Linked DNA regions of Alligator mississippiensis. The protein of the gene in region 1 interacts with the protein of each later gene in a biochemical or structural test. Links are inferred from orthologs where the notes say so. Each region holds a gene or a part of one and is shown in the gene's direction. Other genes may lie near its edges.

Region 1 (15,417 bases):
ACCCCGGTTGAGAATTACTACTCTAAGCAGCAGTCTTTTTGGTTCACAAAAAGGTAGTCTCAAAATGTGCAAGTCACATATGCTACTAGAAAACATCCTGTGCTGAGCTGTAGGGCGTGGACTAGATTGCCTTCTGGGCTTATCTTGCACTCTGTTTTTGGCTACCCAAGAGTAGATGTGTCCTTCCCAGTAACAGGCATCACTAGTGCTCTTAACTGGTCTTGCAATCCTCTGCAGGCAACATCTGTCTCATGCCCATTTGTGCAGCTGCATGTCTTTTTGGTTCCACCTCCCTGCCTCCCCCCCCACCACCACTTTTCTTTCATGGGAGCTACCAGCATGTTCAGATCCTGGCTTATAATGAGGCTGAAGCCTTCTTGTATGTGCCAACAAGAGGATTAAGAATACATGAGTAAAATAAAGCATGAGCTATTAAAGATGAAATGGCAGTATAGAAAGGAATGTCATCAGCTACCCTCCGGTAATATGTTTCTTTTTCTCTGCACAATTAGCAGTCGTAGCCTCTCGAAGTGGACGGCTCTGATGAGGGAGAATATGTGTTTGCTCTTAGAAATGCGCTGTGTATTTTGAAGCTACTTCAGAACCTTTTTCAAGCCCTAAATCTCTACTGATTGGGATAAGCATTAAAGCCAGCCGGCTGCTTCTGCAAAAAGAAGCAATAAACTAGTTAATGTTGTTAAGAGGCGGTTAGCATTCCTTTTAGATGAATGAGGCAATTCATACCTCTGAGCTATTGTTTCATTATTTCAGGGAAGGGGGGGAGGTTGTTCAGTGTTTCCCTTATAAAATGGCTCAAAAACACAGGAAGATGACAGTTGTATTAATTTATATTTGAATAGCATGTAGGGGGAGGGGGGGAGGGTTTACACACGTGCCAAATATATATATAAATTGCCAAAAACATATTTTTATTTTTAAACAGCTTGAAACTTGGAGCATAGCCTTGCCACTCTAAGTCACTCCCAAAAGCACCAGCTTCTGGATAGACGGGATCATCAATAAATGCCACCTTACATTTTTAAGGGATAATATCCCACGGAAATCAATCCCCTTTGCATTGCATAGCGCTGCTGCACAATTTGCAAAGCTTTTGCCTGCTTCCAAAGCAGTTGTCATAGGTTGGAGATGAGGCATCAGACAAGATGGGCCTTCTGGCAATTCTTGGGTTCCTGCTGTGACACTTGAGCCCCAATTTTCAGTTCCAAGCATGCCGTGGTGGTCATTTTTGAAGGCCTGCATAGATTTAAGAAGAAGGGAGCGAGGATGTGTGGTTTACAACGGATCTAGCTATGAATTTGGCTAATACACCTGAAGTAATCTTGGAATTTAAAACTGCCTCCCAGAGACGGGGGTGCAAGATAAATGGCACGAGATTCCAGCCTGCAACATCTGTCAGACTTGGGTTTCAAACAGTTGGTATTGTATTTACATTGATAGTCATGGTTAAGATTGTATGCATTTTTCCATTGCTTGTACTGGTAATTTCCATTTGTTCGCGATTCAGAAAGGGCAGTACTTGTACAGCTACCTTTTTCCTAACTGTTCAGCTTGGTCCAATTAATTCACTGTTATTACAATAGGACCCCTCTGTGTGCGCTTATCCTCCAGAGAGGTTTAATTGGCACCTGCCGTAGTTCACAAGCATGGTGAAACTAAAAGATGCCCTCCATCCCCCTTGATGGACAGGCATGGCAAGATCCACCTGGGATTGGGCTACAGCCCGGATGGTGCGGGTGGGATGATACAGTGCAGTAGTGGTCCCCAAAATAGAGCACCTGGGGAGTGGGGCACCCGCAAAGGTATTCATTTATAGTGGTGGAGCCTGACCAGAAGTGGGGTTATAAGCCGGGAAGTGGAACCACCTTGTTAAAATACTGGAAATTGCTGAGATCAGGCCCCATTGTATTAAGCGCTGTGTAAACACAGCAAGGGACAGGCCCCCAATGCCTGACAGCCCGGATGAATGAGTCAGGAAAGGCAGGAGGGGAAAAGTCTGCAGACAGAAATGATGTGTCCCAAGGCCTGGTCAGTGCAAGACTCCCATTGAGTTCGGTGGCAGATAAATGCCAACCCAAGGTGCCTAGATGTTGTGACCTGGTGTCATCATCTGCAGCAAGGGGCCACCGCACTAAGGGGCAAACTTAAAAGTGGTCGGGGGGCCGTTGCTTGTAGGATACAGGGCAGATGGCTGAAAATGGAGGGGTACAAGGAGCACTGGGGGGGGGGGGGGTTTGAATTCACCCTAATTGTGACACATCCCAGATCCTCTCTGGTGACTAGTTGTGTCCATTGCTAGAAAGGAATATCTGGATTAGGGACACGGCAGGCTTGCCATAGATGTGCAGAATCCGAGAAAACGAAGGGACCTCAGGAGGTCACATCCAGTCCAACCCGCTGCTCCGAGCAGCACCAGCCCCAGCTCCATCATCCCCACTATGGAGGTCTCCTGCTGGGGAGGGCTGATGCCTGCGGGGCAGGATCCTTGCAGGGACTAGGGTGAAGCGGAGTGCATCAAGCTGCTTGCCTATCTAAACCCAGGAGATAAGTGGCTGCCTAATCTAACCCCCCCAGCCCCCTCTCTTCTATCTTTAACACTTCCTGCGGGGCAGAGGAACTGAGCTGAACACGGTCGTGTTTCCTGGCTGGAGGCGCAGCCCGGTCGTGACTTTCTGCCTGCCTCTCCCACCCCCGACACACGCAGCCGGGTCGTGAGCTGCTTCTGGCCGCGGGGCAGGAAATGAGTAAAGAGGGGCTGGGAAATCTCCCCCAGCCTGGAGGAAGAGGGGCCGCGGCTGCGGGGTGCAAGGGCTCTGCCATCCTGTCTCTAGACCGCGGATCTGATGGTCCATCGTGCCTAGTCTCCTGTGTCACACCGGGGCAGAGAGTGGAGGCTGGAAAGGGACAGTGACCTGGGACTGACCGAGTTTGTTTTGCACCACCCCTGTTTCTCTCTCACTTGCAGCCTTCAGCATTGAATGTCCCGGTTCCCAGGCTGTGCGCCCAAATCCCTAAGGCCAGGGCACAGATGCACGCGGCCCCCTGCTTCTCCCAGCCCTCTGCTCCGCATTCACCTCTTCCCCACTCACAGCCTCCCTCTCCCACACCTGCTGCAGCAGTGGCATCCCTTCAGCCCGTGGCTGCTCGTTACTTTTGGGGAGCCTTCCCTCTGCCCTGGCTCTGCCCGTCTTTCCTCTCTGCTGGCCAAGCAAGACCTGTGTCCGGCTGGGTGGGGCGGCGTGGTCCATCCCTTGCCAGGTTGCAAGCTCCCAGCCCTTCTGCAGCCGGGGGGCCGGGTCCTGAGGAATAAGGGGACGGGGGGTGTCTCGATGTGGGATCTAAAATCAACCCGGATTCCTTGCTTAAATGCCCGCTGGGCTGGATAAACCCTCCAGGGACTGGATCTAGCAGCACCGTCCTTGCATGAGCCCCAGCTCGTGTCTTTCCCCGGCAGGCGAAAACCCTGCGTGGCCCCGAGGTGTCCTGATGGGGAAAACAGGGGCGGGAGGAAGGGGAGGAGGGGAGAGGTTATGTCTCAACAGCACGATGCTTTTGGCACTCCGTGTTTGGGGGGTCGTTACAATGCCTTTATATATCTTGTGTGCGTGTGTGTGTGCGTGCGCGTGCTTAATGGGGGTGCATCACCATCGCACAACATGCACGCCTATATAGAAAGAAAGAAAGAGTATTTGGTGTGTATGGCCACACACAAACACACACACACACCATTCATGCATACACACCTTTCATGCATTTATATGTAGTAGATTTCGTGTGTATACACCCCCCCCCTCCCCAAATATATTCTATTATATACTAGATACACTGTTCTTTGCAAGCTTTCGGGTACAAATACCCTATATATATTTATGCGTGCGCATACCTCCCCCCCACTCATTCATGCTCATGTATATGTGTGTGGGTGGGTGTAGGGAAGGGAGAGAGGCATACACGCACACACACATATGTACACACACGCCATATATACTATGTATTTATCTTTGATGTATTACACACACCATTTATGCATACATGTGTGTGTGTGCACGTGTAGGGAAGTGAGAGAGGCACACACGCACGTACACATATGTACACACACGCCATATATACTATGTATTTATCTTTGATGTATTACACACACCATTTATGCATATATGTATGTGTGTGCATGTGTAGGGAAGTGAGAGAGACATACACGCATATACACATATGTACACACGCGCCATATATACTATGTATTTATCTTTGATGTATTACACACACCATTGATGCATATATGTGTGTGTGTGTGTGTGTGTATACGTATATGTATACGTACATGTACACACCAAAAGCTATTTAAAGGGATTTTAACGACATCCCAAACACCGAGTGCGAAAAGCATCGTGTTGTTGAAGCACGAGACACTTGGTGTGTGTATACTGGGGGAGGGGGGGTTATGAATGAATGGGGGGGTGCACCAAAAGCAATTAATGCAACTGTAAACAAACAAAACCACCTTGGACCAACACGGCTCGGCTCACAAGCATCGATGGCATTGCCGGCTTCACCTGGTGCAGCCTTTCAGGCTCCCCTTTGTTTTATCTGCTCGTTTGCTCACACGCCATAGGTTTTGGGGGTCTCGTGTCCCTAATGCGCCCTAGCTCGTGTTGGCATCTGCCTAGCGGCTTTCTCCCCTTGCCCTCAGACTGCGGGCTCATTGACTGCCCATGACTTCGAGACAGGGACACGTTTGTGCGCGTGAGTGCGGACGCCGCCTACCTACCTGCCCTCTTGGATCCTCATTTTGGGGCGGATCCGGGGAGAGCAAACAGGTGCAGCCTTTGCTAGGTCGAGCCTAGTGAAGACAGGCGTGCATCGAAAAGAAAGGCGGGGGTGGGAAAGAAACACGCCCTGGACGTGTGTGCACCCGGCTGCTCTTGGGGGTTTTTTACATCACCCTCCCTGGCTCTTGGGGCAGCCCTAGCTGCTTCAGGCAGAGCTCAGGATTTCAGAAGGGTCCTGCTCCCTTCCTCCCAAAAGAAATGCACCCCAGGGGATGGGAGACACCACCAGGGTTGCAGACACACGGAGCAATTATCCCGTTTTAATGCGATGTAACGCTGTTTCTTTCAAGGTGCCCATCTGAGCCCCGGGTGAAATTGACACGAGAGATCTACCCCGCTGCGGGGTGAAATTGACACGGGCGATCTCCCCCATCCAGGTGAAACTGACATGGACTGCCCCCTTTCACCGAGCAAAGGGAGGGGCGCCCCTTTTCTTTAATGTCCACTATTAATTTGCTTTATTTACCCAATTGTCCCAGGACCCCTCTCTTCCCCACCTCCTCTCCCATCTCTTCATCTCTCTCAGCAATTTATTTTGGCTCATTAAATTTAATTAAGAACTGAGTAGGTGTTCCATATTTAATAAAAAAAAAAAAGAAAGAAAGAAAGAAAGAAATGCAGGGGCATAATATCCCTCCAAGAGGACTAAAATAAAAGAATCGCTATTCAAATTGTGGACAGTCACGGTGCATTTTTTATTACTCTTTTCTGCAGTGGCTTTTTAAGAGCATCTAAGCACACACACATAAAAAGCTATAAGGCATGCATTCCAGAGTTATTCCTATGCATATCCCTGCAATAATTTTCCGCTTTCCTTCGATAAAATTGCCAAATAATAATGAATCATTTCATAAATAATGGGTTTAGAGGCTTATCAGGGCAGGCGGGCCATTGCTAGGGCCTTATCTCACTTGGCCACATTGCTCTAGTGTTCCGCTCTCCATACTAAATAGGAAACTGGACGTGATGTGGAATTAGATCCTTCTCCCGTGAAGCCACCCAACACTTATTACAAATATAGCAGCAATGAATAGGCCACAAAATGGCTCCACTCACTTTTACCAATGAAAAGCAAATGGTGAGTAAGGAGCACTCCGTGCCTCTCTGGGAAGGGGAAAGGGTGGGATGTTGCCTATTGTTTTAGGGGGCTTCCTTAGGGCAGAGAGAGAGAGGGGGGGTTTCCCCCCTCAGCCCCCCACTTTGGTCGAGCATGGTAGGGAAATGGATAAAAAAAAAACCTAAAGGATTGTTGTCGGGGTGGGGGTGGGGATAAGGGTGGGTGGATTATTTTTGTCCCCACTTCTCTGCTGGAGCCTGAGCCCCGAAAGGGTGGGTATTTCAGCCGTGGGCAGGGGAGGATGGATGTGCCCCGGGGTAGGGGAGGCACATCTCATCGAGGGGTGCCTTGCGTTTTGTTTCTGCCTCTGCCCCGGGGTCGGGTTTGACTGCGGAGCCGGCAGCTTAGACAGGCCCCGTGTGAACCCAGCTGCCAGGACCGGCTCCGAAATAACCAGTTCTTTAATCCGATTTTTTTTCCTTGGGTTTGGGGGGGGGGGCACACATTTATCAGTGGATTAATGTTGGGGGGGAGGGAGAGGGGGGAGTTTCCTGTCCAAGGCACGGTTATAAAACAAAAGCAGGCTGGGCAGGAGATGCAAGCAGCCCAGCCCGAGCTGGCCGGCGGGGGACGAGGCAGGACAGTTACAGGCTCCTCCAGCCCTCCCATGCCTTGTTCCCAGAATCACACTGATTTCACCCCAAAAAAAAGGGAATCAAAATAAGGCTCGAGGCTGGGCCACGCAGGGAATCATCTACCTGCGACCTGCAAACGGGCTGGGACCTGCTCTTATTTATTCCTGCGAAAAACGAAACGATCTCGCCTTCTTTTTTATTTTATTTCATTTTATTTTATTTTATTTTATTTTATTGACCTGGCATTGCAACATTTGCGGGAACTGGGGAACTGTAGAAGTGGGGAGGAATTGGGATTGTCCCCAAAGCTCCCAGAAAGCAAAGCCACATTTGCTTTGTTGTTTGCGGATCCAACAGCGGGTTCCCTGGGATATTGGTTAAAATCATAATCATCATTATTATTATGATCGTTATTATTATTATTATGGTTATTAGTAGCATTATTATTTCTATCGTTAGCATCTTCATTTTTATGGTCATTTTTTCTATGATTAGTATTATCAGCATCATTATTATGTCGGGCTTCTTCTTTATTTTTATTATGTTGGTATACTTTGTTATTTTATTCCTGATTGTGGTTATTCGGGTGGATTTGATTTCCTATTCATTCCTCTTTCCTATTAATTTCGTTCATCGCAAGGGAGATCCAAGCGCACGCCTGCGCCCTTAGGAAACCCTTGCACCCCTGTGCCTATCAGATGGACCTCTCCATTCAGGCACTTTTTATATCCTTCGGGGTTAGCAGCATTTAACGAGTCCCAGGGTCCGGGATTTTATTTTTCAAGCCACCGGGTTTTTCTACTAAGCTCATGGTAGTTGTTCCCCTCGTGCGGGCGGGCGGGACGGGGTGGGCGAGCCCTGGAGGAGACCATCACCCAGCCCAGCTCCCAGCACCCAGCACCCACTCATCTCCCCTGGCTGCAAGGAGAGTTTTAGGCCCTCCAGGATGAATAGGATTTCTTCAGGGACATTATGCATCAGTTTGAGAAATGGAGCCGAGAGAAACATAGCCATAGGCAGGCAGTACAAATAAATGATCTCCGAGCTTTGTTGTGAACGGGCAAAGGGGTGTGCTCTACACACAGACAAACAGGGTTTAAAAAAATAATTAAACATGATGTCTAGAAGACATAAATAGAGTCATAGACTATAGAGCACCCCAAATAAATAGAAGAAAGAATAGGATACGATAGGAAACAGAAAAGAAGAAATAAATAGAGTAATGTTATATCATAGAGCACCCCAAATAGAGTAAAGAATAGGATACGATAGGGAATAGACTAGAATAGAAGAAATAAATAAAGTCATATTATCTAGCACCCCAAATAAATAGAATAAAGAATAGGGTACGATAGGGAATAGAGTAAAACAGACTAGACTAGAATAGAAGAAATGAAGTCATATTATCTAGCAAATAAATAGAATAAAGAATAGGATATGATAGGGAACAGAAAAGAAGAAATAGAGTAATGTTATATTATAGAGCACCCCAACTAAATAGAATAAAGAATAGGATACGATAAGGAACGAAACAGAAGAAATAAATAATGTTATATTTTAGAGCACCCCAAATAAATATAATAAAAATAGTATACAATAGGGAATAGAATAGAATAGAAAAATAAGAACAGAAGAAATAAATAGAGTAATATGATAGTATAGAGCACCCCAAATAAAATACAATAAAGAATAGGATACGATAGGGAATAGAATAGAATAGAATAGAAGAAATAAATAGAGTAATATTATATTATAGAGCACCTCAAATATGTAGAATAAAGAAGAGGATACGATTGGAATAGAAGAAATAGAGAGTAATATTATATTATAGAGCAACCCGAATAAAATTGAATAAACAATACATTAGTATACGATAGAGAAAAGAAAAGAAAAGGATTTGCATTCACAATCAATGCAAACCGTGGCTATATTTCTATATTAAGCTAAATATTTCCACAAACATGCTGCCTGTGTTTGAATCCGTTAGGGACAGAGGCGAGGAGAGCCCGGTCGTGCCTGCAGACAGATGGGCAGGCGCTGATAAGGGGTGCTGATACTCCCGGGTCTATCTGGAGCGGATGTGTCCGCACGCACACACGTGCGCGTGTGTGATGTGTTGACACCCCGTCCCCCCTGCCCCGCACGCCGGGCTCTGGCCCCCCAGGAGGTGGGGGCCCAGGGGCAAGGGCAGCAGGGGCCGTGCTGCGGGCTCCTGATTGGCTGGGGGGGGGAGGTAGCTGCACATCTCTCCATCTGCTCCGTCTATCTCGGTGCAGATCTCCCCCGCTCCAAAGTGCCGTTGGTCTAAAGGAAGCCGGGCGAGAGATCCCCTGGGTTGTTGTGTTGGTGTTTTTCCCCTTCCAGGATTTGAGCCGCATGATACGGATGAGGGTCGCCTTCCTCCCCGCGAAGTCGTGAGTATGCTGGCGGTGGGAGGAGTGAAGGCAGCCTGACACCGAGAGGTCTTTTGTTGAGACAGGAGACTCGAGGTGTTCCTACTTAACTATGACAGATGTGAGTAATCTCTTCCTATGCAATATCAGAATGGGCAATTAGGGGGCTTTTTGGGGGGGCGGCTAAAGAGGGAGGGTGGGTGGGGGGTAGGGAGGAGGGGGAGAAAGAAATGCTGGGAGGGTTCAGGTCTTCTCCCAAGCACCCTAATGGAGGCAAAAGCAATCCAGGTTCCCCAGGTTTCGCTTGGGCTCGGACCTGACGCTTGCGCTTGAACCCGGCCCCGCTTTACTTCCATCAGGCACAGACACAAGAGAGATATAGCGCGCTAGGGCTGATTCCCCTTGCCCCAGGGGCAAGTGCCCGGGCTCCTAGACATCTCCATGCAACCGACCCCTGGCAAGGCGGGGGCTCCTTTCCCCCACTGACCGCCTCGAGAAGGGGCAGCCCGGGTTATATTTTGCAACAGGAGCTTTGCCAGGCCCTCTCCTATCAGGAGCACCGGTGTGCAAGCGCCACGCTTGGCTCTTGCAGGCGAAAGTGGGGGCCAAATTCACGGGTTCTGCTTTGGTTAAAAAAAAAAAAAAAAAAGGAAAAGAAAGGATCCTGTGTCTGCAAAACAGGAAACATCAACTGAGCCGGAGTCGCCTACAGACACCGGCGTTGGGACCGTGCTCCTGCCTGCCTCCGGAGCTTAAAAGTGCCTCTCTAGGAGGGGCAGAGCCCTGCTTTGCTAGGAGCAGGGCAGATGGGCACCGTTGTCACCGGGCGCCTGGCTCTGCTGGGCCAGCCAGGTCGGACTGCGCGTGTTTTCCAAGGGAAGCATTGCGGTCTGATGCTGAAATATTCCCTCTCCCGCACGCGCACGCACACGCACACACACACAGAGTGCATTTCAATATTGCACACACCCACCCAGACACACACTGTAACGCAATACTGAAATATTCCTTCTCTTGCACACACACACTGTATTTCAGTACTGAAATATCCCTTCTCTTGCACACACACACACTGTATTGCAATACTGAAATATTCCTTCTCTTGCACACACACACTGTATTGCAATACTGAAATATTCCTTCTCTTGCACACACACTGTATTTCAGTACTGAAATATCCCTTCTCTTGCACACACACACTGTATTGCAATACTGAAATATTCCTTCTCTTGCACACACACTGTATTTCAGTACTGAAATATCCCTTCTCTTGCACACACACACTGTATTGCAATAGTGAAATATCCCTTCTCTTGCACACACACACTGTATTGCAATACTGAAATATTCCTTCTCTTGCACACACACTGTATTTCAGTACTGAAATATCCCTTCTCTTGCACACACACACTGTATTTCAATACTGAAATATTCCTTCTCTTGCACACACACTGTATTGCAATACTGAAATATTCCTTCTTTTGCACACACACACAGATGCTATAGCCATGCTATATCTCCTATCCTACCCTATATTTCAGTACTGAAATATTCCTTCTCTTGCACACACACACTAAATTTCAAGACTGAAATATTCCCTCTGTCACGCGGGCACGCATGCACACACACACTGCGTATTTCTCCCGAAGCCATTGGGGTTGCTCACGTTACACGAGTCCAATTAAATATTTAACCCACGCCTCTGTACAACAACGTAATTACCGCAATGGTTTTGCTGAGAAATATGTCCCTCGCTCGTGCGCAGATTAGCCCCTAATGCTTCGCTATTAAAGTCGTAGACCGTGATGCTGTATTTGTGGCCGAGCAGTAGGTGCCCCGTGCATACGGAGGGATTATCAGTGCAGGCAGTGGGCTCACCCCCGGCCCTGTGTTGTGCAGTGGGAGGACAGTCAGCCTTTCCCGGCAGGTCCCAGCTGTGATGGATGCATGTATTCCGGCTTTTACAAGCCGCGCTGCCCCGAGCTGGCGGCTGCAGGACTCGGGCAGCCAAACGGGGCTGTGCTTGCTCTCCGTAGCCTGCTCCCAGCACCGGCTGGCAAACGGGCTAAGGGGCCACGAAACTCGCTTCAAAACCCAGCTCGGCTCTGCCCGGCACGCTCCGGATCCGCCTGGCAAGCACAGGTGCATGGTACGGGCGTGTAGAGGGACACTCCGCTCCTGGATCCCCTCACACCCGATCTTAGCCTGCAAGAGGCCGCGGATACGGGGCATATCCGTACAGACACCCGCTGAGTGCGCCAGGGCGAGCTGGCCCGTTTCCGAGGATGTAGGTCCGAACATGTCTCCTGGAGGATATGGCACGTCCTGTTAGGGGCACTATTCATCTCACACGGTGTGCACCCTAGTGCCACCCAGCATCCCAGGAGAGGATAGACTAGGATTCAGTGCAACATAAAAACTGCACAGCACAAGGTTACAGCGTGATATGGACTGTGATATAACATAACATATCGTATTGCTATGCCATGCCGTACCACTTATCCTATCCTATCCTATCCTATCCTATCTTGTTAAGTGATGATACAGCAGGACATAACCTAACACAACAATACAATATGTTATGTTATAGTCTATATTATCCTATGTTATGTCATGCCATGCTATATATCTTATCCTATCCTATCCTATCTTGTTAGGCGTTGATACAGCAGGGCATAGCATAACATGGTATTGTTATACCATACCACATCACACCACACCATACGTCCTATCCTATCCTATGTTGTCATGCGATGATACAACAGGACATAGCATAACATAATATGTGGTATGACAGAATATGACGACATGTATCATCTTGTTCTGCTAGGTCACGTCCTGTATGGTTATGATAGAACAGGACAGAGCATAATATAATGTGTGATATGAGAGACCATAACACGCCATCATATGGTATTGCTGTGCTATATCATATCGTATCATATAACATAGCATAGCATAGCATAGCATAGCATGTCTTGTTCTGCCGTGGCAGAACAGAGCCCAGCAAAACGATGCGTGATGTGAAACGACAGAGCATGACACGACCCGACCCGACCCGACCCGACCCGACACGATGTGACACGAGAAGCGGGGCCGTCCGGGCTCCCCGGGGTGCAGTGCGGGGGCTCGGGCGGACAGGGCTGGATCCGGGCCGGGGGGGCGCGTGTCCCCTCCCCGCAGCCCCCATCCACCCACCCACCCGCCTGCTCTCTCCCCAGGACGATGGAGAGGCCGCCCGCCGCGCTGCCCCGCAGTGACCCGCGCGATGCAGACAGCACGAGCGAGCCGGAGCCGGAGCCGGAGCCGGAGCCGTCGGGCGAGCGCGGGGCCATGGAGGCGCCGGGAGCCCCGCAGCTGCTGCTCAGCGGCGCGAGCGTGGAGGGCGGGCGGGCCTCCCCCGGGCCGCCCCCGGCCGCCGTGCCCGTGATCGAGCTGGTGCGCAGGGGAGGCGCCGCCGACATAAAAGGCAGGGAGGCGCCGGGCGACGCGATGCAGAGAGCGCCGGGCGCCGAGCTGTGCCGAGCCGCCGATGCCGCCTGCGACGCCCGCATGGTGCAGCTGAGCCCGCCCGCGCTGCCGCTGCCGCCCGCCGGCAGAGCCATGCTCTACAGCCTCGGCCAGCCGCTGGCCACCATCAACAGGTCCGTGCCCCGCCGCGCCCCCGGGCTGCCCGTCCCCGGCCGGGCTGCCCGTCCCCGGCCGGGCTGCCCGTCCCCGGCCGGGCTGCCCGTCCCCGGCCCACCGGCCGAGACGCGGGGCTGCAGGCAGCTGCCTCCAACCCGCGCCTGCTGCCGGGGGCATCCTCCAGAGCAGCCTCTCGGTTGCAGGACGGTCTGGACCAGGGCTCTCAGGGTCCCTTCAGGGGCCAGATGGGTCTGGAGGGGACTCCAGATGGGTCCAGATGTCTCTTGCAGTCATTTTAAGGTTCGGGTGGGTCTGGAGGGGACGTCAGGGTTCAGATGTCTCTGGAGGTGATTTCAGTGTGCAAAGGGGTCTGGAAGTGACTTCAGGGTTCAGATAGGTCCAGATGTCTTATGTGGTGATTTCAGGGTCCAGGTGGGTCTGGAGGAGACTTCAGGGTCCAGATGACTCTTGCGGTGATTTTAGGGTTCAGGTGGGTTTGGAGGGGACTTCAGGGTTCAGATGTCTTTTGAGGTGATTTCAGGGTGCAAATGGGTCTGGAGGTGACTTCAGGGTTTAGATAAGTCTGGAGGTGACTTAGCGGTCCAGATGTCTCTTGTGGTGATTGCAGGGTCCAGGTGGGTCTGGAGGTGACTTCAGGGTTTAGATAGGTCTGGAGGGGACTTAGGGGTCCAGACATCGCGTGTTGTGATGCCAGGGCCCAAATGAGTCTGGAGGCGACCGAAACGTCCAGATGCTCATCAGGTGACTTCAGGGTCCAGATGTCTCTTGAGGTGATTTCAGGGTCCAGATGGGTCTGGAGGTGACTGAAAAGTCTAGTGGGTCTTGAGGTGACTAGAGGGTTTCAAATCTGTGTGATTATTATGATCTGAATACATATAACAGGCAAAGGGATGTGTGTGTGTAAAAAGAGAGGGATGTGCGGTGATGTATATGGGTGCATTTTCAAATATATGCATCTGGATAGCCCTTTGGATTTCAAACCATTCCCTTTCCCCAGGAATGATCTATATTCAGACCATTCATGCTGGAATTTTAAATGCAGAGGTGTAAATGCAGCAAATACACAATGGATGTAGCACTCAGTATTTTTTCCCTTGAAGAAATCTCTTAGCTCTAGGTAGGGTGTGAGATTTTTAACCGGATCAAGAATCATAACCATGAGAAGAAAGTGCTTTAGAGTATATGCTGCAGGCAGTGGGTGTAAATAAAGATACATGCATTGGCTGATGCTGTTATATCTTGTAGTTCCTCTCAGAAGTAGGATTCAATATATATATATACACACATACTCTCCTACTTTTATATACTGCATATGTATACATATATATTTATTTATATACTGCTTATATATAATACACATAGGATGAATTACTGATTATAATAGATGGATGTCAGGCTAGTTAAGAAAGGTGCTTTCTTGCACATGCTATCTACATGCTATAACACATTGGCTGAATTACTGCTTATAATAGATATATATATTATATTACTGATGTATTATATTAATATAATGCATTAATCCTATATTAATATATGTATTGTAAGCAGTAATTCAGCCTATGTGTGTTATGGCATGTAGATAGCATGTGCAAGAAAGCACCTTTATTAATTAGTCTGCCATCTTTAACGACTTGCTTAAAAGCACACTGAACAGTATTGGCAATCTACCAGCTTTATTAGCAGGGACCGCTGCAAATAATCATCCAAGTCACTTAAGGCAGTTGTGTATTAGAGGGTGTCTCTGTGCATGTGTGGGGGGGTGTGTGAGCATGTATGTATATACAGACATGTGTGCAATGTGTAGATTTAGTTACATATGCACACTCCCTGCATATACCCTCAGTTGCTATACAGACACATAGCTTAAGTCCTGTTGAGTTCAATGGAGTTACATTGATTTATAGCCGCCCAGGTTCTTGCCCATTGTATTTGAATAGTTCTCCGAGTGGCCATTGTATTTGTGCCAATGGTGAATCTTGGGAATCTTGGAGCCCACTTCGAAGACCCCTAGTTCTTGGGCAGCCGTCTTCATTCAGGACGTGTGTTTTCTGACCTTCTGCTTGCCTCTTCTTTGCAGCGGGTTTTTTGGTGATCCAGACAGCTTCTCCATGTACACCAGCAACAGAGTGAAGAGAAGACCTTCTCCTTATGAAATGGATATCTCAGAGGGTAAGTACCTTTTCCTCTTCCTGCTGTGGGGTGTTTGAGGCACAGAGACCTATAGCTGACTCTCCACGGGTTGTGCTGTGGGTTGATGGAGACATATTGTTTAAAGAAACACGTGTTGGGCTACCCCACAGGGCAGCAAATGGGACGGTAAGATAATGTTATTGGTCCAGCCACCTGATCGCTTACCCCAGCCCTGGCCAGGACTCCTGCATAATGGAGCAAGTTAATGGCTGAGTAACATTGCCCTCATTCAGCAACTCACTGAGGCATGTGTTGAAATCAATCCCTGCTTTTGAGCACTTAAGTCTTATTATAGCCTTAGGGACTTAAAAGAATGTGCTTAAATTTGCATGATAAAATTGGGACCATGACACTGCGGTTCTTACTAGCCTCCAGCTAAATACAGACAGTCAAAAAGCCGAAGGCTGGACTGATTTAATCTCCATCGGTTCAACAGACTGAAGCGATAAGCAAGTGAACAAACGTTCACTTTAGAGTCCAAAAATGCAGCCACGTGCCTGCAGTGGCCCAGGCCAGAAGCCGGAGGGCGCTAGAGCATGCCTCCCTGCTCTGTTGGAGCAGACAGCTTGGGCCAAGCCTAGCCCACCCACCCTGTGAGGGGGGACTTGCGGGGGAGGTGCAAAGCATCCTGGGATGCTGGCAGACTGTGA
Region 2 (15,634 bases), on another chromosome or scaffold:
TGTCTTAGAAGGTAGATTCAGCTGAAAGAGAAGGTTAATCCTGAATAAGACAAGTGTATTCTTGGTCAGGGGGGGATTCAATCATGATTTACCAAGAGACTTAAAGCCAATTATGGCTCTTCTCACTCATGGAAACTCCCTAACAGCCTATCACCATTTCCAGCTGTAGGAAACTTAAAAAGAATGATAGCAACTAGTTCCTTTTAAACTTCAGGAGAAAAGCGTAGAATCCTGTGTAGAAATGAAACCGTGCTTTGAAAGATGCAGTGCACATTATGAAAGTTACTCAATAAAAGAGCTTTCCAGATCCTTGACAAGATAGCAAGTAAAAAGAAAAAGGAATTGGTTTTATAGGTTGCTTTCACCTCTCACACATCCCCTTGCAGCACTTTACAATATCAATATCAACTGCGTTACATTGCAATATTATAGCCAACAGGTACTCAGCATTTTGTCTCACTTAGTTTTCATAAACTACCCTGAATTCTTTTGTTGACTCCAGAGGTAGACAGCTAGGACTTCAGTTAAACCTTTAATCAGAAGGTCTGTACTTCTGTACAGTTTAGGCCGGTGTCAAGTTTGGACATGAAAAAAAACTTTACTTTTTTATAACACCTTCATCCAGGGATCTCAAAGGAGTATGCAAACACCAAAGCATTAAGCTTCAGAACAGGTCATCTAAAATAGGCCAACCCTATTGCAGATAGAGAAACTAAGGAACCAAAAGGTGAGATGACATGCCCAAAGCCAGAGAATTAAGCTGTGGCAGAATAAAGCATAGAACTCAGGAGTCCTAGCCACCCAGTGCCTTGTGCTAGTCATCAGACACCTAGACTTGGCTTTGGAAGCTAATGGAATGCTAACATTAAATTCAGACTACAATCAGAATGAATTCTTGTAGCATCAGTTCATTAAGCTGCACCTTAGGATACAAAGCAACATCATGTTCAGCCATTATTGTTGAAAAAGCAAAGTTCCTCTTTGTTACTTACAGACTTCTCTAGAAAGGTGCTATCTTAAGTGGTTCAACACTGTTGGGTAATCTGTGGATAATGCTTAGATGCTGTCAGGTTGAAGATAATGCCAGGATCTACCTAGGCTAAGCTCTGTAACTGCAAAAAAGAGTCCTGGGATCCTATCTGTGGCAGAACACCATTGGGATGCTCACCACTTAGTGTGCTGCTGTAAGCTATGGAGAAGCCTGCAAGGTGAGCATCAGGGAGACCCTTCTGCCGCTGTAGTCATTTTAAGGGGAGAGGTGAGTGGCAGAGCACCTTTGGTAAGTGCCACTTTAAGGCTGAGAGCGGGCAGCTGGCAGGTGTGGGCCAGCCCTGGTGAGGCGGCTGTTTTAAGATCCAGGCTCTCAGGGCTGAGGTAGCAGTCTGTTGCAAGCAGCTGGGGAGCAACAACACCTGACTGAGCTGCTGCTCACAACATTGGTGGTAAGGGAGGAACTATGGGGATGGCAGGACGTTCCTACAGGCGTAGTGGGGCCCAGAGCCCCAGGAAGAAGGCTTTGGCCTAGTGAGAGCAAGGCCCAGGCTAACAAGGGGGCTAACAGCTAGTAGGCCTACAGAAGGGGTTAGGCAAGCCCCAAGTAGATCTGGCAGGGGCCAAGCCAGGGGCTCTGTGGTGAGACCCAGGAGGGATCCCTTTGGAGAATGGGGGTCAGCAGCTACTAGACTGACTTTCTGATCCCTCACACTGGTCAATCCAAGAGGACCCGGGCCAAAGGGTAGTTATGCATAACACGAGGGGCAGGCCAGGACCAAGGTGAGCTATCTGGCACCCTGATTGGCCTGGAGATGGGGTCAGAGCCCATGTGGGCTGAAGGTCCCTTTGATGGAAGGGATATCACAGCTGAAGAGGGTAGGGGTTAGCCAGCATGCAGGCTCCAATAATATTGGAATGGGATCAGAGTGAGAAGGGACATCAGCCAGGTGCCTTAATGAGGGAACTAGACTAGGACAGGTAGGCCTGCTTGATCTTGGGTAAGACCGAAAACTGTACCCTGCCAGGAAAGGGTGGTCTGGTGGGGCTATCCATGGCAGGACAGCTTCCCAGAAATGTCAGGCCAGTTATGTCGCCAGTGAAAGGTCGGTAGGGGTGCCTGATAACCCCAGCTCCCACCTTCTGGTGGGTCATTATGACTAGAGGGTAGTGGGGCCAGGCACACCCAGGAAAGAGGTTCCCGAGCCCATGGGAGTGTAAGACCCTGGAAGATAGTGGGGCCAAGTACACCTATCGAGAGGCACGAGTGTCTGTCGGGGTGTAATACCCTGAAGCCCCAGCATAGGGACAGAGTGTGGGCCTCAGAGAAGAGGCATGTGTGTTGAGGCCCCGGAGGCGGGGGACAGTGGGGGTATTGGAAAGAAGCAGCTAGGCCCAGGTAAGTCTTCAAGTGCCTGAGGCCGCAAGTGGGCCTGAGGCCAAGTGGGTGAGTAATTAGACCTAGTGAGGGAAAGAGAGTAATGAGTTACCTAATAAGGGGCTTTGGGTCAGAATTCCATCCAGGGAGAGGTGAATTGGCTGGTTACTGTTTGGATGAGTGTCGCGAGAGGGCCCAAGAGATTTCTCATTGGCTAGTCAAGGCACGTGAGTAGGCAAGCCTGATGGTCTATGGGAGCCACTCAAGGGAGCAGGGCAAGTTGAGTGTGGCCCAGTGTGGGGCAGCATGTAAGAGGCCCAGTGAGAGTGGGCAGAGTGCTAGAGGCCTGGTGAGAGTGGGTGGTGTGAATGAGGCCCATTAAGGTAGAGAGAGAAAGGACGAATGTATGAGGCTAAGCAAAGGGCTGTGTTTAGCCCAGCCACGAGCTGCCATTGAGAGCAATTCAAAAGGAGACATCTGTGAGGCATGGGAATTGATAAGGGAGGGTTGGAGTCATGGACAAACCCCTAGGCATTGGGGTCTTAAATGGGCAGCCTTCTGCTTTATTACAACCATTATTGTAACAAAAAGGCATGGCAGGAGAGACCAGGCAGACTGCCCTAGACAGGTGGGCAGGCTGATACTGTGACCGGGACTGGGAGATTGCTCCCTGTCACACCATCCGAGAGGAGATACAAAGCAGTAATTTTAAAAAAATGTTCCTCAAATTCCAACATAGGATGTGTTTTTTTTGGAAATGCACAAATTTACGTTTTTGCATGACTGACATTGCTGACAGGAGCTCTGCAATTTTACATATAATGCACTCACTAAGAAATATGCAGACAGGGGCAGCCTGTTTATTTGCAGCCCTTTAGTCCAAATGCTGCATGCTGAATGCAGTCAATAACATTGGATTTGATCTAGGCCTTGTTTCAAGAGCAAATCTACAGTGTCATCTATCTTAATGAAAGTTAATTGAAACCAACACTCATCCCTCATGAGTTTCAAGCTATCGATAGATATAAAAATTTGTTTTAAACAACATTAGAAAATGTGACAGCAAGCAGAAAGATACAATAACAAGAAAATGGAACACTAAAAATAGTACTGGTCTTTTGTCCCCATGCAGGAAATGTAGGCACCTCAATGCCTTGTATAAGAACATTTTTTTCAGATACAGAATTGGAATAAACTTGCATTCCACATTTTACAGATGGGGAAACTGAGCCACAGAGATATTAAGCAACCTGCCCACAGCACATGATAAACCAGCCTTAATCCCCAGGTCCTTCCTTATCCATTCCTTCTCACATGAGTGCATTGAAATATCCAGTTCCACTGTTCATAATCAGTAGTTATCATTTACAAACCTGACATAATATGGAGAAATTGAGTTGTCCCAGGAAATCAGTTACTTTGCTATATGCATTTTCCTCAGCCAAAAGGAGATGCTAGAAATCTGGCTCTTTCTTAGGAGGCTGAGAATTTCTTTACTTGGGTTTTTGCCTCTTAATTCACTGAGGGTTGGTTTAGGGAAGTTTAGGGAAAGGCATTTATTTTAGATGGAAATTCTACTCAACCATCTTGTTAATGCCAACTGTAGTTTGGTACATGCCCATCAGTACAGGACACTTCTTCCTGACAGTTTCTGTTAACCTTCTATCATTGTGCTGCTTGCTAAATGACCATCTCTGGTGCAGTTTGAAATCCCACCTGCCATAGGGGGTCAAGTGTTACCTTATGTCTTTACAGTGTAGTCTGTTTAAGGTGCCATGCCAAATTTAATCCTCATGCAGTAGTTTTTGATCACTAGTTGTTGTTTAATCAGATTGAGTTGGAGCTTTCTGCCAGTTAAGCACAGTGGAGTGATACCTGCATTATTTTATGCACCACCCAGATGATTCCTGTTTTTTCTCCCCTTGATTTAATCCTCATCTGCTGGCATCTTACTTCCATGGAAAAGAAGGAGAATAAGACAGCTTCTTCTCCTGGTCATTGCCCCACTATTCTAAAGATCTGTATGTAGGTAGTATCTATATGATTCATGTGGCACTGCCAGCACTTTTACATACCCTCCAATTAACGAACTGATTATGTCACCTTTGGACAATTTGTCCATGATGTGAAAGCCTGACCAGGACCTGTACCTGGCAGACAGCACAATGACAAAACATGTAAAAAGCTTCCTCCGGTATATTCACCATTAACCAGCTGCTTCCCACTTTCTTCAGTCTTTCATTTGTGGTAGAGGTTCCTATTAGTTAAATCCAGAAAAAGCATTTCAGTGAGCTTAACTTCAAGAACATGAGGGGCATAGTCCTATTTCATTTATGTGCCCAAATAGCATTTACCTTGCCATGTAACTGCAGTTTTTGACCCTTATGCATAGTTTGCGGTCCTCTTCTACATGTAGCCTAGACGTATAAGTGTTCACAAAGATGCTAAGTATTCTTAGTAGGTTGTGCCCTGGCCAGGCATCATATTCATGTAAATCCTCAATTTATATCTGGGAAAAAGCCAATAACTAATGGCTGTTAGATGTTGGAAGAGGGTCTCCACCAGGTTTTAGCATAATAAGCAAATCATTGAGGCTCTTATCAAGGAAACAGGGGTTACAGGTTATAGTCCCCTCCCTCCATCTCTTGGTTATTAGCAAAGTGGTCTACCACCTGGCCATGGGTTAGACATTATACAATTCTCTCTTCTGCCTCTTCTTCCCTGGGCAGCCAAGAAATAAAGAGCTATGTAGGGCCAGGAGGAAGAAAACAAGCTGGAGGCTATATGGTTCAGTGACATGCCTGATTCCCTGGAAAAGAGAAGTCCCTAGATTCTACTTTGGCACTTTGTGCCCAGTGGGACACAAACTTTTCCACTGTTCTCCATCCATCCACTTTGCCAAGTGATAAATGCAAGGTGCAGTGGCTCAGCTTTAAGGAGAGCAATGTGCATAATACCTAACCTGCAACCTGGTGCTTAGAGCACTGTTGGAAACAGAAGGTATAGACTCAACCTCCGTCTGAGTGAGGAAGCCCTGCAACCTAGATCTACCACTTTTTGGGGGAGTTCCATAACCCCTAGTCTATTGGGCTAAAACATGGGAGGTTACCCATTCTCCCTTCTTCAAATACCTACTTGCCACCAGTTTTTATCTGCCTACAGTTTTAGGGTTTTTGCTCACCCAGGTATACACGTATGGTGCTACATAGCTGCACAACCAGAATATAACCTACAGAGTATGCTCAGTAGCCATGTGGGTGCTTGGTCATCCTGTGTGTAAGCATCAAGTGTCACAAACTGTTGTTACACAGCTGGGTAAGTGCCATTTGAGGGCATACAGTGAAATAGGTTCCTGCCCAAAGTGTCTCACTGACTTGAAGGAGTTTTCTCTGCTTGACATCTACGTCCAGACCAGGGCAGAGATGCTCCATTTGAGGTCAATGATGTCCAGTGAGAAGTTTCTGCACCTTGCAGGATTCAACCCTACATATTTTGTTTGAAGGTTTTCACCCATTGTTAGGTTTAGACTGTGGCTGGACTGTATCCAATAGGTCCTTCCTTTATATTGGCATTTCCTTGTTTTTTGAAATAAGAAACACATTTTTTTTTATTATTAAAAAGACTTTTAGAACAAACACTTTGATCATTGGCCCACCTTGGGAGTAAAACCCCTTGGAAAAATCCTACTCTACACATACTTTGTGTTGAGTATGGAACTGTGAATCTGTATGATCTGTTTTCAGATTTAGAGTTTCAAATTCAACCAGGTTCAAGTGCATTATATTATATAAAAATAATAAGATACACTAGGCCAAATTCTGCTTTTCTGCTTTTATACCTGTGCAATTCTCTGGAGTCTGGCATTTAATTATGGAAACAGTTATTGCACAAAATTAACTGATGGCTGAATCTGGCCCCTTCCATTTATTGTAAAAAGTTAATTTTTTCCCCACAATCCTTGGTCCTTTTATTTTAACCATGATTTTTTTTTTAATTGCAGTCCTTATATATATTCTTAATCCCCCTTTAAACTTTGTTTCTAATCCATAAAGCTGCCATCAAGTTCAGGCAGCTGAATTATTCTGGCTTTTAATAGTTTAATTATTCTGTCTCTCAGAAAGGTTTATTTTTTACTCCTGATCATAAAGTCAATATATGTGACATTAAGTATTCAGAATATAATTCAATCCTGCCTATAAAGCTATTTTTCTTTGACCAAAAATATTTGATTAGCAGAGTGGTTATCACACTGTAAGAGTTTAAAGTGTATTAGAGACAGGCTATTTAAGGAAACAGGGTGGCATTTCCTAATGATCAATGATGGCTCTAAAGCTGTGGTTTTCAACTTTTTTTCATTTGCAGACCCTTAAAAAAACTTGCAAACAGAGGTGCAGACCCCTTTGGAAATTTTGAATGGAGGTGCTTTGAATTGTAAGTGTGGGTGTTCACATACTTTTGATTGATCATAATTATTTTTTATGGACCCCTTGGACATAGCCTGTGGACCACCAGGGGTCTGTGGACCACAGGTTGAAAACCAGCGCTCTAAAGATTTGATAAAGCCTGGTCCAAGCCCCTTGAATTCAGCAGGAGTGTTTCCCTTGACATCACTGGACTTTGAACTTAGCCCTTTAATGTGTTTCAGGTTCTTATTCCCCTGGTTGCCAAAGAACTGGGTCAGGGGGTGGAGAAAAGATTAGAAAAAAGTCACAAAATAGACTTTAGATGAAATTTCTGAAATGGGAATAATAGATAAATGAGGTATTCCTTGGAGTCACTAGTGCTTTCCACTGTATTTATAGGAATTACTGGAGCAGACAGTTCACCTACTCCAGGACCTTGCCCCCAGCAACAGCCAACACCTCATGCTTCATTCACAGGACAAAAAAAAAGGGCTGTAATTGCAATAATAGGTTTAATTTCAATAGCATAAATCACTTGGCACCAGAACAGGCTGGAGAGAACCATCCTGCCTTGCTAGGGAGTTGGGGTGAAGAGGGACAAGAGGCAGGAGAGAGGTGGCAGGTTCCGAAGGGTCTTCCCCATTTCTAGCTTAGGCATGATTCATTTCACATCAAGCCTTTCCATGCCAGAGCTTTTATAGCTCATTAGTGGCAAACACCGGCAAGATATAAATTTCTTATATTGCTACTAAGCAGGACAATTGTGCAGACACCAGTGACTATATGAGGCACAGAGGAGAGACACAGGCACGGATGACACAGATCAGGGTAGGCTTGGTTCTGCTGTAGTGTGTGCTTTATGCCCTCATCTCAAAGCCCTGAGCAAAGGGGGTTGGATGGGGAGGGCACTTAAGTGTCTTTGGCTGTGCCAAAGTAGGGGGTGTTTTATGCCCTGATCTGAAAGCCTTGGGCAAAGGTGTTGGATGAAGAGGGCATTTTGATGCCTTTGGCTGTGCCAGTAACATTGTAGGGGGTGCTTTATGCCTTGATCTCAAAGCCTTGGGCAAAGGGATTGGGTGAAGAGAGCATTTCAGTAAAATAGTAGGGGATGCTTCATTCCCTGATCTCAAGGCCTTGGGCAAAGGGGTTTGTATGAGGAAGACACTTAATGCCTTTGGCTGTGCCAGTAACATAGTAGGGGGTGCTTTATGCCCTGATCTCGAAGCCTGGGGCAAAGGGGTTGGATGCAGAGGGCATTTCGGTGAAATAATAGTGGGTGCTTCATGCCCTGATCTCGAAGCCTTGAGCAAAGGGGGGTGGATGGAGAGGGCACCTAAGTGCCTTTGGCCAGTAACGTAGTAGGGGGCGCTTTAAAAGCAAACCAGCCCTGAGGGGCATTTCCCAGAAGTGTTGCCCTCCGTTGCGGAGCACCCCCCGCCCCGCTGCGGTCCCAGCCCTGGCTCAGGCAGAGCCCGCCTGGCCCTTTAAGCCGGCGGCCCCGCGGGATGCTGCTGCGTGCGCGGCCGCCCCCGCCCGCGGGCCAGGGGGAGCCGAGCCGGGCCGGGCAGCTGTGTGTCGGAGCGTGATTTCCTTCCATTGTATCGGAGTCGTGCCGGGGGAAGAGGAAATGAAAGCGGGGGCTCGGGGCTGCGCTCGCTCGCCCTCATGATGCTGGGGCTGGGCGCCGCCTCTGCAGAGAGCCCGCTCGGCCCGGCGTGCCCAGAGCTGCCCGGGCGGGGGGCGCGGCAGTGACAGCTGGGCGCGGAGATGGGAGGGTAGCCGGCTCCGGAGGGTCAGCCCCGCGGACGCCCCGGCCCAGCCCAGCCCAGCCCAGCCCAGCCCAGCCCGCTTTGTGTGCGCGTCTGTGGTGCGGCAGGAGGAAATCCCGCCCGTGCCCTTGGGGGGCGGAGGGGAAACTCCGCGGGCGACCAGGCACCGGAGCACACCGCCTTGCCTTTGTGGGGGCGCATCCCACCGCCGCCCAGCCTGCCAATGTCCTCGGCCATCGAGAGGAAAAGCCTCGACCCCTCCGAGTAAGTGCCAGCTCCCCCTCACCCCTTTTCTTTCCCGGGGTGCCGGTGCTGTCCGGGACCTGGCGAGCTCCGGAGGGAGAGGTGAGAGAGCCCGGCTGCCTTTGCCTCCCCCGGCTGCCTGACAGCGCGCAGGGCTCTGGCGTGCGAGGATGGCGGGTGGGGACCGGCGTGCAGCCCAGCTTCTCCATTTGGAGCCGAAGCCAGGTCCTGGCTTCATCCCAGCACACGGGCTTTGGGAGGGGGGGAGCCACCAGCCATCCCTCCCCATCTCTTTCCCTTCTCTCCTGGAGATCCAGCGAAGCCCCAGCCAGACTTCCCCAAAGCTTGAGGAGTGTTGCAGTCTGCCCCATGTTTGATCTGCCCCCCCTCCCCAGCTGACTAGACTGAAAGGTCAGAGCTGTTATCTGATGGGTGCTCAACTTCCACATTTTCATCAGGCCAGAGGCAGTTTGAAACTTTCGAGAGATGGTATTAACTGCCTGGCTGGGGGGTGGCTGAAAAGAGGGTTGGAAAGGAGCTCAGGGAGGACATCTAGTCCATCCCCCCCCCCCCCTCAAAGCAGGGCTGTCCCCAGCTAGATCATTCCAGCGGAGGCTCTGTCTGCCTGGGTCTGCAAAACCTCTAAGGATGGAGATGCCAAAATGGACCAGGGATCTTGAGAAGAGCAAAGAATTGTAGGTAGGGGGAAGTCTAAAGGGAGCCTTGTCTTTCTTTTTGACTAGGTTTGTGGAAAGAGGGTGGTTACATTCAGGATCTGACAGGAGCCTTCTGAGCTGGCTCTTCCAGTGTATTTCCTGCAGGCATCCCTTCAGACCCAAGCACACGCAGACCCACGCTTGTGAGAAGCGTGTTAATTCAGCCCAACCATGTGGTGTCATGGCACTCAATTCCAGGGCTGCGCATCTCCATTGCAGCAGTGCCTCAGACTTGGTCTGTGCCTCCTTGGCATCGTGACAGCACAGAATAAAAACCAAAACTTCAACAATTCTAGTGTCCAAAGTAAAGCTTAAATCATTGTTTCCCTCCCTCCTATAAAAGGCTTCATTAATCTGGGATTTGTTTCCTGCAAAGCATTTAAGAATATCATCTTTTGAAGCCCTCCTCTCATGCATTGCTCACAGGGATGCTAAGGTAGTTAGCTAGTTTTTCCTCATATTCTGCTTTTTAAGGAATTATAATGTAACCTCTGTGGTAGTTTCCCCCCTCTGTCCTACCTGAATTTCAGCTACAAAATTGAAACATTTTTTTTTTATTTAGTTGGTGTTCTGGTGAATTATTACAGGCGGTGACAGTCAAATTCATAAAAAAAAATCTCCCCCTGAAATCCAATTCCAAATAAACTTCTACTAGGCTATTTCAGAATTTAGGATGCTAGTAGCCAAAATAGGGTTTCAAATAACTCAGTCGTAGATCCTGAACTGACAAGAAAAGGGACAAGAATAATATAAAATATCATAGGGCACACAAATCTTACAAAGAGAGATACATTTATGGTAGAGGAACTGCTACAGTATAAGTCCATTGGATTTGCTTTAGACAAATGCTGTGTTCTGTGTTCTTTAGAACATGATGTTTTCAAGTCGGCATAAAATTCCTTTGTAGTTCTATATGCAGTGTCGGTTGCACTGAATGGACCAGAGAAACAGAGCGTATGCTCTGAAAATCTAGGGCCTGATCCTCTGCTTGTAGCAACTCCCTATGACTCTGCTAGCAATGCCACGTGTAGTGGGCTGTGGGGAGAGAGGGGAAGGTGGGGGCTGGTAGTCATGAGACAGTAAGAGGACAGAACAGCATGCACTGTGACAGTGAAAAATAGAAGTGCTTGCAGGCAGACAGATTCTTTATCGGCACCAAATCCTGACTGCTCTGGGAGTTCTGCTTGCATAAAAACAGCAGGATCAGGCCTTGTTGGGAAGTCAGGGAGCACAGTACATATTTCAGACCCTGAAGAAAGTCCTTTTTACTTGAAAGCTATTTTCCCAGTAAATAAAGTCTGATGAAGTCCTGCATAATATAACTCGAGGGGATCGAAAAATGTTAGTATCTGCAGCCTGCGGGAAGTGCTGACTGCACTCAGAGTAGTTGTGCTGACTTCTCTCAGTATAGTTATGCTCTGTTTCCTCCCCCCCCCCCAGGTTTGGCAGGGTACAGGCCGCCAGCAAATTGTCAACAGACCGTTGGCTATACCAATAACTGAATGATGTACCTAAGAATTTAGGGCTAATTTCTGCAAGGCGTTGGGCACTGTCTGACCCCAATCCAGCAAACTACTTGAGTAAATGGATGGCACAAGTCACATGCTTAAAGTTAAGTGTGTGCTTAAAGTTCTGATCCAATGGAATCATTCCATTGGCTTTACTGAGCTTTGGATGTGGCCCTAAATGCTTGGTGGGAGTGGGGCCAGCATGCTCTGCTCCTTGCTGGATTGAGTCCACAGTCTAGTCTTGTAATTTTTGCTCATAGTATTGCTAGAACTTGCAAAAAGGCAACACTGAGACTTTCTTAAGTAAACATATTTGCAAAAAAAGTATAGCTTTAGCCCTCTTGTATTAGTGCATCTGCTCTTTATTTTAGTGCTTGTTACAAATGATAGGATAGGAATAAAATGTTACTTTGGAATTGTGCAAAAGTGCCCTTTAATATAGTACTACAAAAAAGAATGGGGAGGAGGTGGGTGGCTGATTTTCTTTCCCCGGTGTGTAAATCAGCCATAACTCCTTGAAATTCATAGAACTATGGTGGTCTAAAGTCCATGTAGTACACTGGGATCAGAATCAGGTCCTTAGTTGTTTTACTCAGAATAAAAGATAAATTCTGCATTAAGTCTGGGTGAAATTCGGGCCCTGCTGAAGTCCATGACAGGACTATTATTGGGTTCAATAGGGCCAGAGTCTCACCTGTTGTGTAAATTCATTTTTGTGCTATTAGAACAGATGCCATCACAAGGCTTAGACTTCAAATTTACCTTCCCTAGAGAGAGGTTAATCCCATGTGACCTCATGCTTGGAGGATACTTTCATATAACTCTCCCAAACTTGTAGCCCCTATTGAGGCAATATTCCCATTGATTGTGGCAACACTGAAGAGGGAGAGTTTCAAGATGAGGCCAGCAATATGGGAAGTGTGTATTCCTAAAAACAAATGCAATTGTTTTACAATAATGTTTGGGGTTCTCAGTCACCTAACACACACATCCTGGGGTTTAAACAGGTTCATGAAGTTGGGTTTTTGATGTTTACTGGTAAATATACAAACCCTTTTGAAGACACCACAAAAGCTGTTCTGTCATGAATACTTCTGCATTTTAATCTGGACAAAGAGAGCTATTTGAAAATGTCAAGAATATTGTAACAAATCTTTGGACTTTATAGCTATCACTATGCTATCTATCAGCATATGTAGACAAGAACGAAACATTTTTTTTTTTAAACAGAAACTCCAGATCTCTTGCTGCAAAAGTACAGTCCCCCAATCCCTTAGGTTAAGAAGAATCTCATGTATTTTGTAGCACTTGTATAGGAATTAGACTCAAACTGGGCAATTCTAATTCTGTCCAGTAGAGGAAAACAATACATGTCCATAGAAAATTAATTAACAATACATTCAATGTTTTTACACCAAGGAACAGACTGGAAGGTTGTATAGATTGTCATGTTCACATGCAACTCTTTGAACCAGAAGAAATGAAGAGCAAATATTTTTTTCCACTTGGGTGATTTCAGAAATATTAGCTATTCTCCTTTTTAAAAACAAAATTAAAGTGTACCCTTGTTCCCAGTGATATCAAGAGGAGGGCAGGGGACTGCCACTGACTTTAGCTGGAGGAAAAACTGGCCATAAATCCTGTTCTAATTTGGTCATGAGCTTTTTTTCTTCCTATTTAGTTGGTTTAAAGGGTTTTTCCTTCTCCAACGATTGCTCATTCTCTCAGGGAGCCGGTGGATGAGGTGCTCCAAATTCCCCCTTCACTGTTGACATGTGGAGGTTGCCAACAGAACATCGGGGACCGCTATTTCCTGAAAGCCATTGATCAGTACTGGCATGAAGACTGCCTCAGCTGTGACCTGTGTGGGTGCAGACTCGGAGAGGTGGGGAGACGACTGTACTATAAACTGGGCAGGAAACTCTGCAGGAGAGACTATCTCAGGTACAGAGTCCCTCTATCTGACAACATTCTGCTCTTGTTTGCTTTCTTTCTGCAGTTTCAAAGTTAGTTACAAATTTAGAATGAAGGTTGGATCCCCAGTGATGCTGCTGCATAAGAACTGTAAGGAATTTGCCATGATTAATTTATTCCTAAAATATAAAGGCTGAGGGCAGTTACAGATATGGTACCATGTTTGAGTGGTGCTGCCCAGATCCACAGCTTCAGCATAACTAGGTGGTTTTGGTGCCTGCATGGGAACACCTTCAGTAGATGTCATAGGAAATGGTGTTGGAAATTCAATAAGCAGACTCTTTCCTTTTAGTTGGTAATGAGCCAATGTCCTACAATGGTTTGAAGAGTATTTTGGTTCTGCAGGTGTTGCCTTTTGGATTCAAGGATATTATAACTGAAGCCCTGAGGACAATTGGTGATGAAAGATCTTTTGGCAAATTTGTAAAAATAAGGTGTCTTGGTGCCTTGGCCAAATTCCATATCTGCCATTACCATAATACCACTTAGATAAGAGATTCTTTACTTAACTGAACTACTGTGTGATGCTTCTGTGCATTTATTATCTAGTGGAGTGGCTGTCTTTCAGCAGTGAGTGAATTAATCCCTGTTTCTAATTTTGTGCTTCAATTTGTAGGTTTTTAGGATTCCTCAGGCTGCAAGGCACTACACTTACACAGTCCTATCATATTAAAATAATTACGGTCCCAGTTTAAGAAAGCATCCTGTTAACTTGAAGTCAGAAGGATAAGAATGTACTTAAACATTGCCTTGTGTACAAATGTTTTGTTTTTTTTTGTCAATCCGATCTTAATAGTTTGTGTGTTAGTAAATCACTGTCCATTTTGCACTTACAAGTATTGATAAATAAGATGAGTTCAATTTTATATATTTTCCATTAACTTGATTATAAAGAGCTTGCATGTTCCATGTTCTTGATTACAGTTAAAGCATATTGATTTTTGATATGCTAGGTATATATGCTTTTGCTCTGCTAGGCTTGCTGTGCTAGGCATATATGCTTGTTATAATGGACAAATTGGCCCCAATAATGAGACAGGCTGTAAATCTCCTGTGTATGTAATATTCTAACAACGATCCAGTCCTACTTCCACTAGCTGAATACTTGGTAACTTTTTAAATGAAAGAGTAACAGACCAAAGGAACAAGATTACTAAATCTCTATGCTATTTTCTATGCTGGGTGTTTTCAGTTATTTAAGTGTAATGTGTTCATCAGCTGTCTTGAGTTAATGAAAAATTTCACAACCTTCAGGTAATGTTAACATTACTTTTATTGGCAGAAGTGAACAGTGACATCTTCTGGCAGAGAAAATAAATGATTTCTTTTTCTTTTAGATCTCTTAGTTATTTTTAAGAGTTATTTTTTGAAGCAGGCTGTGTCTATAAGCACAGTAAAAAATATGTGAGGACAAATGGTTCTAAAATTAGTATGGCAACACAGAGAATGTAATTACATGAGAAAATATTTCAAACAAGTAATATTCAGCGTTTCCTCTACTTTATCAAACGTAATAAAAACACATTCTGCTTGTTTACTAATAGCAGGATTTATAAACTCCACAAGCTTCAACCTGCATTAGAAGATGACATTCATTATGTTGTCACACACAGTTGAACAGGTCATACTGTTCCAGTTGAGAGCAGCAATACATGCTGTGAGAGGGATATATATGTAGAGCATTCATTACAGGGTCCTTTTAATAGACAACATAATAATGTCTCAACAGGGTTTCTTAATATGGATGAAAAAGCAAGCCAGATAAGAAAATCCTTTGGGCTAGAATAGATTTCTAAAGGGTCATAGAGTCCATCTTTCTGAAACATAGCAGTCATTCATGAGTATATAAGTCTTTGAATCCGAAGGGATCTCAGAAAGGCAACAAAACTAGATTGTGTGTTACGATCACAGCGTCTGGCAACCCTGTCTTTTAACTGCATAGTAAGGAATAATAGTAATATTTATCAACCATAATGTAATTTCTGTTGCTGGATGAGGGGAGATGCAAGTATTAGGATGGTACACATTTGTTTTGAGATTCAGATAGGTGTCACTCCCATTGAAGTAACTCGTAATCTTTCAGGATCAGGCTTTTTTTACTTTTTATCATAAAAAAGCAAGTATATTCTTTTGAAAAGTAGGCAAGATGTATGATTCTGACAAATTTTCACTCCTGCCTTTGGGACCACAAGTTTTGAGTACCCTTGGTTGAAAGATTTTACCAAACAAATGTTTAAACTTCTATGTATCCTTGTAATGCAAGTGTAACAGTGCAACACTGGTTTCTGATGTTGTGTCTAAATTTTGCTTTGATTCCCACCCCACTTTTCTTCAAGAGTACCTTGCTCAACTCTTTGTTGTTTCTTTAGGCTCTTTGGCCAAGATGGCCTCTGTGCTTCCTGTGACAAGAGAATCCGAGCCTATGAGATGACCATGAGGGTGAAGGACAAGGTATACCATCTGGAATGCTTCAAATGTGCTGCTTGCCAGAAACATTTTTGCGTTGGTGATAGATATCTCCTCATCAACTCGGACATAGTATGTGAACAGGACATCTATGAGTGGACTAAGATAAATGGGATGATATAGCCAAGACATGCCTCATGGTCTTCAAAAGGCAGTTCACAGGTGACACAAATTCATAGCTACAGTG

What was found.
Region 2: the proteins of TAL1 (region 1) and LMO2 form a complex in vitro, tested with the Homo sapiens proteins (2 studies listed by BioGRID). The link is inferred for Alligator mississippiensis from reciprocal best matches to the Homo sapiens genes TAL1 and LMO2.

Annotation. Positions count from the first base shown.
Region 1 is NC_081828.1:4,731,772-4,747,188, reverse strand, and holds the start of TAL1 (T-cell acute lymphocytic leukemia protein 1), read left to right. Parts: upstream 1-5,813; 5' UTR 5,814-5,922; intron 5,923-6,470; exon of another isoform or gene 6,471-8,900; 5' UTR 8,901-9,048; coding exon 9,049-9,050; intron 9,051-12,150; coding exon 12,151-12,573; intron 12,574-14,654; coding exon 14,655-14,746; intron 14,747-15,417. UniProt on the Homo sapiens protein: Implicated in the genesis of hemopoietic malignancies. It may play an important role in hemopoietic differentiation. Serves as a positive regulator of erythroid differentiation.
Region 2 is NC_081825.1:217,117,731-217,133,364, reverse strand, and holds the start of LMO2 (rhombotin-2), read left to right. Parts: upstream 1-8,565; 5' UTR 8,566-8,763; coding exon 8,764-8,804; intron 8,805-12,735; coding exon 12,736-12,951; intron 12,952-15,350; coding exon 15,351-15,570; 3' UTR 15,571-15,634. UniProt on the Homo sapiens protein: Acts with TAL1/SCL to regulate red blood cell development. Also acts with LDB1 to maintain erythroid precursors in an immature state.